2 linked regions of the Anolis sagrei genome follow. The protein of the gene in region 1 interacts with the protein of each later gene in a pairwise test. Links are inferred from orthologs where the notes say so. Each region holds a gene or a part of one and is shown in the gene's direction. Other genes may lie near its edges.

The links. The genes of interacting proteins can lie anywhere in the genome.
Region 2: the proteins of NUDT18 (region 1) and multifunctional protein ADE2 interact in binary tests that used the Homo sapiens proteins (3 or more experiments, as listed by UniProt). The two-hybrid records come from large-scale screens. The link is inferred for Anolis sagrei from reciprocal best matches to the Homo sapiens genes NUDT18 and PAICS.

What each region holds. Positions count from the first base shown.
Region 1 is NC_090027.1:21,780,921-21,788,293, reverse strand, and holds the start of NUDT18 (8-oxo-dGDP phosphatase NUDT18), read left to right. Parts: upstream 1-4,317; 5' UTR 4,318-4,424; coding exon 4,425-4,625; intron 4,626-7,373. Other genes in the region: ITPRIPL1 (inositol 1,4,5-trisphosphate receptor-interacting protein-like 1), read left to right, coding at 1-1,441. UniProt on the Homo sapiens protein: Mediates the hydrolysis of oxidized nucleoside diphosphate derivatives. Hydrolyzes 8-oxo-7,8-dihydroguanine (8-oxo-Gua)-containing deoxyribo- and ribonucleoside diphosphates to the monophosphates. Hydrolyzes 8-oxo-dGDP and 8-oxo-GDP with the same efficiencies.
Region 2 is NC_090025.1:73,077,307-73,084,518, reverse strand, and holds the start of multifunctional protein ADE2, read left to right. Parts: upstream 1-4,146; 5' UTR 4,147-4,314; coding exon 4,315-4,336; intron 4,337-7,212. Other genes in the region: PPAT (amidophosphoribosyltransferase), read right to left, coding at 1,790-1,917. UniProt on the Homo sapiens protein: Bifunctional phosphoribosylaminoimidazole carboxylase and phosphoribosylaminoimidazole succinocarboxamide synthetase catalyzing two reactions of the de novo purine biosynthetic pathway.

The sequences.
Region 1 (7,373 bases):
CAAGGAGATGGACTACTTGCAAGTGGAATTTGAGCAGAAGGCCTGGAGCTGGGTCCCGAAGCAGAAGCAGGAGAAATTTGTGAAGCCTGACCTGCCGGTGGAAGACGGGACCTGGGATGGTTGGCCTTACGTGGGCCTCATCATCCTTGTTGTCTTTGGCTGCTGCAGGCACACGATGGAAAAGGACACCCATTACGATTCCAGCACGGATGGCTCCAGCACGTCCACCACAGATGAATACGACGACGACACGGACATGGAGCCGGAAGTTGGCAAACCCAACCAGAAGAAGCTGGAGGCCTTCTATGACTGCTATATTGGACTGGAAAACGGCGACTTGAAGAACGTGTGCGATTTTGTGGAGACCTTCGTCAACGATTTGTTGGATGAAGGTCGGAAAACCCTTCCATACCAGAACACCCTTCCTCTAATGGAGAACTGCATCGGAGTGGGCAGCGCCTTTGAAGGGTGGCACATACAACGGCTGTCGAAACCCTTCACTGTCCTGGTGCCCCTCCTGCCGCCCAAAGGCCATTCCTTCCAAATTGAAAGCAGTGATGCTGAGGGTGGACCCAGCAAACATGGCCACATTTTGGTGGAGATGGACTGCGTTTGCAAGAGGCAGCGGCTCCTGGGTGACGTGGTGTGCTTCCTCCACCACCCAGACCGGGATCTGAGTGAAGAAGGCGCATTCCTCCTCCACATTTTGTGCACCAGTTCCCACTTGGATGTGGGGAAGACCATCCGCTGGTACCAGAATTTGGTGGTCAAGGCTTGGAGGAACCTCCGTGAGAGGTACACCCTCGACCTCACGCTCATGCCGTCGGCCACAACATGCCGGTTGAAGCTGGCCTTCCACTCTGGGCGTTCTGTTCTGGTGGACATCACCCTCGGTGTCCAGCAAGGAGACTCCTTGGTCTTCCTAGTCACCCACTGTGGAGACGCCAACCCTACCAAGGGCACCATTTGGCTGAAGACCTTCGCTGTTCAGGAACTGCTCTTCTTTGAATGGTTTGGCCAACGGGCACCCGAATGGAGCTGTCACTTGAAGTGTCTCCAGATCCTGATGTATCTCAAGGGTTCTGGTAGTCCGTCCGGTAAGAACCCTGTCCTCACTGACTACCATTACAAGACTTGCTTGATGCACCTCTTGCTCCTGCGGCCGGTCTCCGACTGGAACCCTGAGAACCTGGCAACGAGGCTCCAAGACATCCTCTTGTTCTTGCACACGGCAGTGCGGGAGAAATATCTCGAGCACTTCCTCATCGGGAACATCTCGTTGCCGATCCAGATCCCGATGCCACAAGTCCTCCGGAGTGCTGAGCCCCTCAATCTTTTTGATCACTTGGCAGCCAACAATGGTCTCCATGCCAAAGCCATAAAGGAAGCCACAGAGATCGTGGAACGGGTGAGGGCCCTCTACTCAAAGCAGGAAGAGTAGCTTGGGTCAGCTTCATTCCCAGAGTCCCATCGAGGAACCATAGAGCCCAATGGCGGGGAAAGTGGTTGATACTGCTTCCAATGGTTCTGAACAAACTTGAATTAGACACACAAGGGAGCGATGGTACCACTGAAGAGTGATCCAAATTCGGCTGTTTTCCTAAGTCATGCTTTACGGATAAGGCAGATAAAGGGTTTCAAATCAATGTCCTTGCAGCAGCTATGATTCTGTATTTTTATATACCCCAGTTCCTCACATATTTGTTCTATTAGACTTCAAATAAAGGCTGGACAAGCGGTGTTCTCAAATTTTATTTCAATGTGGTTTGATTTATTATACACCATCTACTTTCCCAATTGAGGAGCCCCTGGTGGCACAGTGGGTTAAACCGCTGAGCTGCTGAACTTGCTGACCGTAAGGTTTAAATCTGGGGAGCAGGGTGAGCTCCCACTGTTAGCCCCAGCTTCTGCCAACCTAGCAGTTTGAAAACAGGCAAATGTGAGTAGATCAATAGGTACCACTCGTTTACATTTACCTTTAACTCCCAAGGTCTGCTCTGGCAACTATAGGAAAAGCTGTAATTTGGGGTGCATTTACACTGCAGAATTAATGTAGTTTGACATCGCTTTGGCCCCCTCTAAACTGCCATATAATCCAGATGATCAAAGCAGATAATCCACATTATCTGCTTTGAACTGGATTATATTTATTTATTTATTTATTTGCTACATTTATATACCGCCCCTCTCAGCCCGCAGATGACTCAGGGCGGTTTACAGTTAACATCAAAGCATAAGAATACAATAAAAACAATTAAAATAATATAAAATCAGAAGGTTTTAGGAAAAGAGACAAAGAGAGTTCCTGACGTCTGGAAAAGCACGGGTTTATTTCCAGCTGGGACTCTGGAGTGGAGCTGTGTCCAAAAACACTTAAGAGTGCCTGATAAAGGCGTTGACTGCCTTTTTGTACACTTCAAATGCAGGCAAACATGCATCTACATACACTGACATCATTCTCTGCAGGAGCCCCCGGTGGCGCAGTGGGTTAAACCCCTATGCTGGCAGGACTGAAGACCAACAGGTCGCAGGTTCGAATCCAGAGAGAGGTGGATGAGCTCCCTCTATCAGCTCCTCATGTGGGGACATGAGAGAAGCCTCCCACAAGGATGATAAAACATCAAATCATCCGGGCATCCCCTGGGCAACGTCCTTGCAGACGGCCAATTCTCTCACACCAGAAGCAACTTGCAGTTTCTAAGGTCGCTCCCTGACACGACAAAAAAATAATAATTCTCTGCATCACTTTAGCATCACAGAAATATCAAATTCTATCTTCCAACATACAAAAGGCATGTCTCTGTATTTCTTTCTAAAGAGCAGCATACAGCCTACATCCATCAATCAAGGGGCCTACTTTGACCTGTCATGAGGAAGAGATAGGCTCCTTACTTAGCTATAGCCTGGGCTCGGTGCCACTAGGATGGGCTTATCTCTCCCCCCACCCTTTAATGTTCACCTCCCTCTTGCTGTGCCTGGACGCAGCTTGCTTGTCCTGTCAGCTTGAATTTCTGATACAGAGAGAACTTGATACATTTCAGTGCTTGTAAAGTACACAATTTATACATAAACAAATATCTATATTTCTAATATCTCCCCATCAAATCTACACTGCCATATAATCTAGTTCAAAGCAGATTATCTGGAATGTCTATGTAGAAGTGTAGAAGTGGCCTCATAAAATCCAGTTCTTATAATCACAGTAACCCAGAACAGCACCTTGTTGGTCAGCCAATGGGGAAACTAGGAGGTCTTTGTCCAATGAGAAGCGAGGAGCGCTTTCAGTCTAGCCCAGGCCTGGGCCAACATGGGCCCTCCACCAGGTAGGCGGTTAGGAATGGTGGGAGCACTGTGGTGGAAATAAAGGGGGGAAATGTTTGAGCAAAACAATAAAATAACATGTTAAAGAGTGTGTTGTACAAAATGTAACAGTAATAACAATTGTATATCAAATGTAGTAATTGTGATAAATCAATAAAAATTATTATCTCTATATAAAAAAAAGGAATGGTGGGAGTTGAAACCCAAAACACCTGGAGGGCCCAAGTTGGCCCAGCCAATGGGGAGATGAGGAGCACTTGACTCTTCACCCTTAGGCGATCCCTCGTTGGACGAGTAGGCTAGTCTTCCATCCATGACCAGTATTCTTGTGGATCCGTTGGTGGCTGTGGAGCCCTGTTCTTGATCTGCATGTTCTCCTGCAGTGAGGGCATTGGTTTCCAGATGGAATGCAGTCCTGGTCGGGGTTGGCTTGACACGCCTTCCTCTTGGCACGTTTCTCTCTTTCACCCTCCATTCATGCCTCTTCAAATTCTGCAGCACTGCTGATCACAGCTGACCTCCAGCTGGAGCGCTCAAGGGCCAGGGCTTCCCAGTTCTCAGTGTCTATGCCAGAGATTTTAAGGTTGGCTTTGAGCCCATCTTTTAATCTCTTCACCCAACTGGGAAGCGATTACCACTTTGTTCAATGAGGAGTGAATACCGCTGAGCTGTTACCCCAATGGGTACGAGATGAGCGTTTCGTCCAATGAGAAGCGGGAAGCGTTTTACGTCCAGCCAATGGGGAAGCGAGGAGGGTTCGACTCTTTACCCAATGGGGAGGAGAAGAGCGCTCCGTCCAATGAGAAGCGAGGAGCGCTTTGCGTCGAGCCAATGAGTAACGAATAGCGGGCCCCAGGCAGGCCACGCCCACCGGACGCCAGTGGAGAAGGCCACCGAGGGGAGGGAACAAAGCGGCCGTCGCTCTTCATTGGACAAAGCGCAATGCGCTTTGTCCAATGAAGAGCGACGCCCGCTTTGTTCCCTCCCCTCGGTGGCCTTCTCCCTTGGCGTGCGGTGGGCGTGGCCTGCCTGGGGCCCAGGGCCTTCGCGGGCGCCGCCTCCCCGCGCGAGAGGGCTCCGGGGCGCGTGCAGAGGGCTGCCAAATGCGGAAGGCCGGGGCGGGGTCGATGGCCGGGGGCGGGGCGGGCGCCGTGGCGGAGGTGGGGGCGGTGCTGGGCGGGCAGGGCTGGCCCTTGTCCTCGGAGGGCGGCGGGTACGACTCGGCCCCGCTGGAGCCCCCCGAGAAGGCCCGCCTCCGCAGGAACACCACCTACATCGTCCTCGCCGTGCTCCTCAACGAGAAGGTGGGTGCCGCAGCCCAAGTCCTCCCCCTACTAGTGCCAGAAAGGGGAGGACTGCCACTCCCATCACCCCCCACTTCCCAGTCATCAGGCTGATGGGCCTCCTAGTGCTAGAAAGGGGAGGACTACCACTCCCATCATCCCCCACTTCAAAGTCATCAGGCTGATAGGCCTCCTAGTGCTAGAAAGGGGAGGACTGCCACTCCCATCACTCCCACTTCCCAGTCATCAGGCTGATGGGCCTCCTAGTGTCAGAAAGGGGAGGACTGCCACTCCCATCACTCCCACTTCCCAGTCATCAAGCTGATGGGTCTCCTAGTGCCAGAAAGAGGAGGACTGCCACTCCCATCATCTCCCACTTCCCAGTCAACAGGCTGATGGGCCTCCTAGTGCCAGAAAGGGGAGGACTGCCACTCCCATCAACCCCCACTTCCCAGTCATCAGGCTGATGGGCCTCCTAGTGCCAGAAAGGGGAGGACTACCACTCCCATCATCCCCCACTTCCCAGTCATCAGGCTGATGGGCCTCCTAGTGCCAGAAAGGGGAGGACTGCCACTCCCATCATCCCCACTTCAAAGTCATCAGGCTGATGGGCCCCCTAGTGCCAGAAAGGGGAAGACTACCACTCCCATCACCTCCACTTCCCACTCATCAGGCTGATGGGCTTCCTAGTACCAGAAAGGGGAAGACTACCACTCCCATCACCCCCACTTCCCAGTCATCAGGCTGATGGGCCTCCTAGTACCAGAAATTGGAAGACTACCACTCCCATCACCCCCACTTCAAAGTCATCAGGCTGATGGGCCTCCTAGTAGCAGAAAGGGGAGGACTGCCACTCCCATTACCCCCCACATCAAAGTAATCAAGCTGATGGGCCTCCTAGTGCCAGAAAGGGAAAGACTACCACTCCCATCACCCCCCACTTTCCAGTCATCAGGCTGATGGGCCTCCTAGTGCCACTCCCATCACCCCCCACTTCCCAGTCATCAGGCTGATGGGACCCCTAGTGCCAGAAAGGGGAGGACTACCACTCCCATCACCCCCCACTTCAAAGTTATCAGGCTGATGGGCCTCCTAGTGACAGAAAGGGGAGAACTGCCACTCCCATCATCCCCCACTTCCCAGTCATCAGGCTGATGGGCCCCCTAGTGCCAGAAAGGGGAGGACTGCCACTCCCATCACCCCCACTTCAAAGTCATCAGGCTGATGGGCCTCCTAGTAGCAGAAAGGGGAGGACTGCCACTCCCATCACCCCCATTTCCCTATAATCAGAAAGCCCCCCTCCGATTATTGGGAAGCCACTTTCCATCAGTGGGCCTGGGATGATGGGAGTTGTAGTGCTCCCCTTTCTGGCACTTCAGGGCCCATAATCTCCCCCTCTTTCCCTCCTTACTCTCCTAAGAAGCTACTTTTAGGCGAGAGAGGAAGGAGGGTATGGATGCTGGGAGTTGTAGTCCTTCCCCCAAAAGGAATAACTTTTCTTTTGGATCCAGAGGAAGACGAGCCCTATAGTGCCAAAAAGGAGAGGACTTCAACTCCCATAATCCCAGTGTGTGGGTGGGCAGGCAATGATGGGAGTTGTAGCCCCCCTCTAAAATGAACTGGAAGCTACTTTGGGAGCGGGGAATGGATGCTGGAATTTGCCATGTCTCCTTCGAAAAGAAGCACTTCCATAGGAAGGATTTCCCTTGGGGATCCAGGGGATGATGTTCCCTGCAGTGCCGGAAAGGGGGGGACTGCCATTCCCATCATCCCCCATTTCCCACCGAAATGGGAAAGGGGGCTCTCGCCGGATTCTTGGGAAACTACTTCCCATCTCTTTGGGAGGTGGTTGATGGGAAATGTAGTCCCCCTCCAAAGGGAGCTCTGGTGCCATTGACTGTTTGGCAAGGGGATGCTGGGCCTTGCAGTGGAAGAAAAGAGGCCTTCTCGAAATTGATGCTGCTTTGTATCTCATTCAAGACCTAAAAGTGAGATATGATGAAATGATGATGATGATGATGATGATGATGATGATGATGATGATAGGCTTAAGGGGGATGCTGGGTACTGCAGTGTAATAAGAGTGCTTCCTCTTACTTGAGTCGGGAGGAGAGGTAGGCAAAAATAAAATTATCCATATAAATAAAAATGTAATGTTTGTTTGTGAGATTAACAGAACTCAAAAACCACTGGACGAATTGACATCCAATTTGGACACAAGACACCTAACAACCCAATGTATGTCCTTCACTAAAAAAAAATGATTTTGTCATTTGGGAGTTGTAGTTTGCTGGGATTTATAGTTCACCTACAATCAAATAGCATTCTGAACTCCACCAATGATGGAATTGAACCAAACTTGGCACACAGTTCTCCCATGATCAACGGAAAATACTGGAAGGGTTTGGTTGGCATTGACCTTGAGTTTGGGAGTTGTAGTTCACCTACATCCAGAGATCACTGTGGGCTCAAACAATGATGGATCTGGACCAAACTCGACACGAATACTCAATATGCCCAAATGTGAACACTGGTGGAGTTTGGGGAAAATAGAATCTTGACATTTGGGAGTTGTAGTTGCTGGGATTTATAGTTCACCTACAATCACAGAGAATTCTGAACCCCACAAATGATGGAAATGGGCCAAACCTTCCACACAGAACCCCCATGTGGGCCACAGCAACGCGTGGCAGGGACGGCTAGTTATTAATAATAATACCATGCTGATTGGTGGGGAAAATTATTATTGTTATTAGGAAACTACTTGTC
Region 2 (7,212 bases), on another chromosome or scaffold:
GAGCACCGTTACCTTCCTGCCAGAGCAGTACCTATTGATCTACTCACATTTGCATGTTTTCGAACTGCTAGGTTGGCAGAAGCTGGGGCTGACAGCGGAAGCTCACACCGCTCCCCGGATTTGAACCTGCGACCTTTCAGTCAACAAGCTTAGCAGTTCAGTGGTTTAACCCAATGCGCCACCGGGGTCTCCTTATATTATTATTTCTGCCTTGATATTCTGGGATACAGGGCTGTGTGGAAGTGCCCTCAGATATTCAAGTTCAAAGCAGATATTGTGGGTTATTCTGCCTTGGTTATATAGCTGTGTGGAAGAGCCCCGAGTTATCTTGTGCGCCAGCTGCGCCCGTACCTTGGGAAGTCAGACTTGGCCACGGTGGTCCACGCTCTCATTACCTCTAGGATAGACTACTGCAATGCAGTCTATGTGGGGTTGCCTTTGAAGACTGCTTGGAAGCTTCAAATAGTCCAAGAAGAGGCAGCCAGGTTAATAACTAGGGTGGCATACAGGGAGCACACAACTCGCATGTTATGCCACCTCCACTGGCTGCCAGTTTGCTACCGGGCACAATTCATAGTGCTGGCTTTGGCCTATAAAGCCCTAAACGGCCCCGGCCCAAATTACCTGTCCGAACACATCTTCCCCTATGAACCATCATGGAGATTAAGATCTTCTGAGGAGGCCCTGCTTTCTGTCCCGCCACTGTCACAGGCACAATTGGTGGGGACGAGAAACAGGGTCTTCTTGGTGATTGCTCCCCTGCTATGGAGGGTCACCCCCATCCTCCTGTCCTTTAGAAGGATGGTAAAAACTTGACTGTGGGACCAAGCTTTCAGGACAGGGCAATGAAGCGGCAGTGGAAAAGATAACAGGGCCAATTGGATTTGATGCGGATGGCTAGGACAGTTTTAAATGATGTATTTTAATGTATTTTTTTATGTTTATGTATTGTATGTGAATTTGTGTCCCGGCATTGAATGTTTGCCGTGTATGTGCTGTGCTCTGCCCTGAGAAGGGCGGAATATAAATGCTTTAAATACATAAATAAATAAATATCTGGGTCCACAATGCCATATAACTCATTTCAAAGCAGATAATGTGGGATTTTACACAGCTGTGTGGAAGGGGCCTTCGATGCTGAGCAAATTCAATGCAATCACTGTTTGGTGAAAACACAAACTTTGACCGGAATCGGTGAAGGCCCTGTGTAATAAAACATGTGGAAAAGTTGGGGTGTTCGGAGCAAATTTACCTGCAAGACATCAGATTTATCAACCAGGGCCCTTCCACAAAGCCCTATATCCCTGAATATCAAGGCAGGAAATCCCACAATATCTGCTTTGAACTGGGTTATCAGATAATGTGGGATTTCCTGCCTTTATATTCTGGGATTTAGGGCTGTGTGGAAGGGCCCTCAGTAAGTATGAGGGCAAAAACAGTGGCAAAACACTAGCAAAAAGTAGTGTAACTGCTAATGCTCAATACTGTGGGACAATGAGAAGAATCAAGATGCATCTACAGCCAGGCATGGGCAAACTTCGGCCCTCCTCCAGGTGTTTTGGACTTCAACTCCCACAATTCCTAACAGCCTACCGGCTGTTAGGAATTGTGGGAGTTGAAGTCCAAAACACCTGGAGGAGGGCCGAAGTTTGCCCATGCCTGGCTGTAGATGCAAGCTTTAGGAAGACTCACAGCCACAACTGGTTGCCTCCAAGGCTCCAGCACTGGAGATCAGACCTTTCCCTGCAGAGCCCCCTTATGTGTGGCCCCCCAAAGCCCCTTCCCTTACCTGTGCTGCAGCCCCACCAGCCCCAGCGTGATCACATGCGGCACGTCCAGCTCGGTGGGCCAGACCCCGGCGGCGAGGCATCCGAAGACCCCGCACTCCTCCCCGATGCCCAGCTCCTCAAACTCCATGGTGCGTCGCACACGTGTCGCGGCCGCCCCTGTTGTTGTCGCTCCTGGCGCGGCGCTTGTGGCCGCTTGGGCTTGTGGGCGAGGACCGAGCCTGCTCCTTTTTTCCCGCCCCTCGGCGCCTCATTTGCATACAGGCCTGATTTGCATAGAGAGAGGGCGCGCACTAGTCTCGCGGCTGCTCCTAAGTTGAGAGTCCTGCCCCTTTTTTCTGCTTTAGGACTCCATCACCTCCCTCGTGTGTATGTGTGATTTGGTCTCATGGCAACAAAAAAGTTAGCCCCCCCCCCTCCTGTGAGGAAGTCGCCCCTCCCCAGTCCCCGCCTCCCCTCTTTTAGGGTTCCCTTGGTATTTCCTGCTTTTCCGAGCTGAAACTTGATTTTCCCTCTCTGACTTTGATTGGGGATAAGAAAGAAGAGTTGTTTACTTTTGCTTCCTGAGGGAATCCTTCCTGGAAAAAGAGAGAAATAGAGGGAGGGGGAAAGAGAGAGGAGGGAGGGAAGGGACGGTAAAAGAAGGAAGGAAGGAGAGGGGAAAGAAGAAAGGAAATAGGGAGAGGGAAGGAGGGGGAATGAGGGAGGAGAAGACATGAAAGAAGGAAGGAGAGGGGAAAGAGGAGGAAAGAAGAAAGGAAACGGGGAAAGAGGGGAGGGAGGGAAGGAGAGGGAATGAGGGCTAAGACAGAAGGAGGGAGGAAATAAGCAAGAGAAAGGGAGAAGGGAAGAGAGAGAAAGGGGGAAAGAAAGGAAAAGGAGAGAAAAAGAGGGAGGAAAGGGGGAAAGAGAACGAGAGGAAAGATGACAGGGAAAATGAGAGAAAGAGCAGGGAGGGGAAGAAAGAAAAAGGGGGAAAGAGGAGGAAAAGAAGACTGGGAAAATAAAGAGAAGGGAAGAGAGAAAGGAGAGGAAAGAAGAGAGGAAATATGGGCAAAGGAGAAGGTGAAAGATGAGGAAAGACACAAGGAGGGAAAGAAAGGAGAGAAAGGGGGAAAGAAAGGAAAAGGAGGGAAAGAGAGGGGGAAAGAAGAATTAAAGGCAGAAGGGAGGAAAAGGAGACAGGAAAATGAAGGGAAGGGAAGCGAGAAAGTGGGAAAGAAGAGAGGGAAAGAAGGGAAAGAGAGAGGAGCGAAGGAGAGGGTGAAAGGGGAAGAAAGACACAAGGAAGGAGGGGAAGAGAGAAAAGGGGAAGAGGAAAAGGGAGGAGGGAAGGAGAGGAAAAAGACAGAAAAGGAAGAAGGGAAAGAAGAAAGGGAAAGGAGCGAAGGAGAAAGATGTGGAAAGACACAAGGAAGGAGGGAAAGAAGGGAGAGAAAGGGGGAGAGAAAGGAAAAGGAGGAAAAGAGAGGAAGTAGAGGGGGAAAGAGAAGGAAAAGACAGGGAAAGAGGAGGGAAGGGAAGAGAGATTGAGGGAGAAGGAAGTAAAGAGGGGGAAAGAAGAATTAAAGGCAGAAGGGAGAGACAGAAGACAGGGAAAATGAAGGGAAGGGAAGACAGAAAGAGGGGAAGAAGAGAGGGGAAGAGGAGGGAAGGGAAAAGAGAATGAGGGAGAAGAAAGGAAGGAGAGGGGGAAAGAAGAGTTAAAGGCAGAAGGGAGTGAAAGAAGACAAGGAAAATGAAGGGAAGGGAAGAGAGGAAAAGGAAGGAAAGAAGAAAGGGGAAAGAGAAGGAGGGAGGGAAAGAGAGAAAGGGGATGAGGAAAAGGGAGGAGGGAAGGAGAGGGAAAAGACAGAAAAGGAAGAAGGTAAAGGAGCGAAGGAGAAGGGGAAAGAGGGGGGAAAGACAAAAAAGGAGGGAGGGAAAGTAAAAAGGGAAAAGGAGGGAAGGAGTGGGGAAAGTCGGAGGAAAAATAGGGAGGGGAAAGAGAGAGAAGGAGGGGTGAAAGGGAAGGAGAGAAGAAAGGGAGGGGGTAAGGAAGAGGGAGAAAGGGTGAAGTTTGCGAGGACTTGGGGGCGCTGGAATAGAAGCGGGAGTTGTTGAGAGTGCAACTTCGCCATGGCCCGCGGGGCTTTGGGGCGGGAAAGAGGCGGGCGAGGGGTGTCCGCCAGAACTGGCCTCAGATTGGAGGGAATGCTTGGGGGAAATTGGGCTGCGAGGGGGCGTGTGCGCGCGCCATTGAGTGTGTGTATTCTGTGGCGCAAGCCCTGTTTGCGGGGCTGCCATTGGCGCGTTCGGGGCGCGCTCCCCGCCCCTCATTGGCCGCCCCCTTCCGCCGCCCGCCCTTCTTACGCCGCCCCGCCAGCGCGCGCCCTCTCTCTCCTCCTCGGACTTGCTCCTCCGCGGACGGCTCTCGCGAGCAAACTTTTCCTCCTTCTCCTCCTCCTTCCTCTTCTCCTTCTTCCTCTTGTGCTAACTTCTCTTTGCCTTTGACTCCTAGGCGCCTCGGGCTCCTGCTGCAGCAGCCATGGCTCCCATCCGCCCTACAGGTGAGTGAGTGCCTTCTTGTCCTCCCCCCAAAGAAGGCCTCCTGAATGCCCCACAACAAAGGAGTCTTTTAACCCCTAGAATTCCTGACTATTGGGCAAGCTGGCTAGGGCTTCTGGGAGTTGGAGGCCACATGCTGAGTCCTCCAGGTGTTTGGGACTCCAGCTCCCAGAAGCCTCCTCTGCTTTGGTGAGTATACTTTCCCCAGGTTTCCTAAACCTAAGATGCTGCAAAATCCAAAATGGATGGCTGAGACCCTGTCTGCACTGTCTATTTAACGCAGTTCAAAGTTAGTTTCAGAGTGTGGCCTTTAGGCAACAAACACCCACAAAAGTGCATAAAAGAAAGATCTTAATGGCTTCAAACTACAAGAAAGGAGATTCCATCTGAACATTAGGAAGAACTTCCTGACTGTGAGAGCTGTTCAGCAGTGGAACTCTCTGCGGCAGAGTGATGGAGGCTCCTTCTTTGGTAGCTTTTAAACAGAGGCTGGATGGCTATCTGACAGGGGTGCAGACAGGTAGAGGGTGCCCTCGGTGGCACAGTGGGTTAAACCCCTGTGCCAGCAGGACTGAAGACAATAGTTCGCAGGTTCGAATCCGGGGAGAGGCGGATGAGCTCCCTCTACCAGCTCCAGCTCCTCATGCGAGGATGTGAAAGAAGCCTCCCACAAGGATCATAATACATTAAAAATCATCCGGGCGCCCCCTGGGCAACGTCCTTGCTGACGGCCAATTCTCTCACACCAGAAGCGACTTGCAGTTTCTCAGGTTGCTCCTGACATGACCAAAAAAAAAAGGGGGGTGCTTTGAATGCAATTCTCCAGATTCTTGGCTGAATGGGCTTGGACTGGATGGCCCATGAGGTCTCTTCCAATTCTATGATTCTAATGTACATCAGTGGTTTGTGTAAATAGCGTCTGAATCTCAAACTGGTTCCAGGTGATCACCTGCCCAGTGAAACCACTTTTCTTCGGCCCTTTCCACACAGCTCTATAAAAGCCACATTGAACTGGGTTATATGGCCATGTGGACTCAGATAATCTACATCAAAGCAGATATTGTGAATTCTCTGCCTTGATATTCTGGGTTAAATGGCTGTGTGGAAGGACCCTTAAACATCATTTTGAAACAGCCTGAAATAGCGACACCTCTGGAATGCTGTGAGTGTTTCAGGCTGTATGGCCATGCTCCAGTAGCATTCTCTCCTGACATTTCACCTGTATCTGTGGCAAGCATCCTCAGAGATTTGTTCGAAGGTCTGTGGGAATGAGGCAAGTGGGGTGTGTGTAGAATGTCCAGGGTGGGAGAAAGAACTCTTGTCTGTTTGATGCAAGTGTGAATTTTGCAATTGGCCACCTTGATTAGCTGGTGAGTAGCTTTGCAGCTGCAAAGTCTGGCTGTTGCTGCCTGGGGACATCCTTTGCTTTGGAGGTGTTAACTGACACTTGATTGTTGGCTGTCTGGAATTCCAGATTGGTAATACCGGTTGGACCCTGGTGGCACAGTAGATTAAAGTGCTGAGCTGCTGAGCTTGTTGACCGAAAGGTCGCTGGTTCAAATCCGGGGAGCAGCGTGAGCTTCCGCTGTCAGCCCCAGCTTCTGCCAACCTAGCAGTTCGAAAACATGCAAATGTGAGTAGATCAATAGGTACTGCTCTGGTGGGAAGGTAAAGGCACTCCATGCAGTCATTCAGGTCACATGACCTTGGAGGTGTCTATGGACAACGTTGGCTCTTCGGCTTAGAAATAGAGATGAGCACCACACCCCAGAGTTGGACACGACTGGACTTCATGTCAGGGGAAAACCTTTACCTTAAAACTGATTACGGGTATTTAAAAACATCAGAATCAAGGCAGTAAGAAAGGGACACCTCTCAGAAACAGAAGGATGCCTGCCATAGATGCAGGTGAAATGTCAGGAGAGAATACTACTGTAACATGGCCATACAGCCCAAAAACTCACAGCAACCCAGTGATTCTGGCTATGAAAGCCTTTGACAACACAGTGACATCTCTGCTTTCTGATGACTCAGTGGATGCAAAGGAATTCTGGGAACTGATGTCCAAAACACCTGGAAGACCAAGCCTGTTCAAGACCTCAGCCATCTAGATGTGCTCTTTCCCAGGCTGATTTCAGAAAGTAGACCGAACCTATCTAAACCTTAACAGAATGATTCTATAATTCGGGTTTGCCAAGGTGTTGTTACATGAAATTTCTTTGCAGGCTCAATTTCCTGATAGGGTTTAGTCTTACAATATATCCAAGCAAATTACATGAACTGTCTTTATTAAGCTCAGATGTTGGAAGCTAAGTAGGATCAGCCCTAGTAAGGACTTGGCTGGGAGCCCACCAACAAATGCCAGGTTCTGAAGGCTATATTTCAAAGGAAGGGACTGTTAAACCACCTCTGGGGATTCCTTGCCTAAGGAAAACCCTATGGACTTGTCATAAGGTGACTTGCAGAACTGGATGGTGGAAAATTCTGATGATACAAAGTAACAGGCTCTACAAAGCCATGAGGCTATAACGGTTTTGATGTTGTCTGTAATCTTTTTGAGTTCCTACAAGAAAAAAATTAATAATTTTTTCCCCATGTCTTCCCCAAGTTTGGAGAAGATACTGTTTTGAAGCACACATCCCAAAATCCCTTAGCCAAGATGGCCAGTGACCATGCTAATGGGGATGTTGAGAATCAAGGAGTTATGATTTAAAGCTGTACCAGTCCCCTTCACACACACACAAACATTCTGATGAAATATAGACTGCAAATAATGCCAGGTACAGAGGAAGGATCCAATACAGCCAACTCTATGTAAAAAAAAAAAAACAAACCTATGAAATTAATGGTTTTTCCATAAATTGACAAGCAGTTTGAC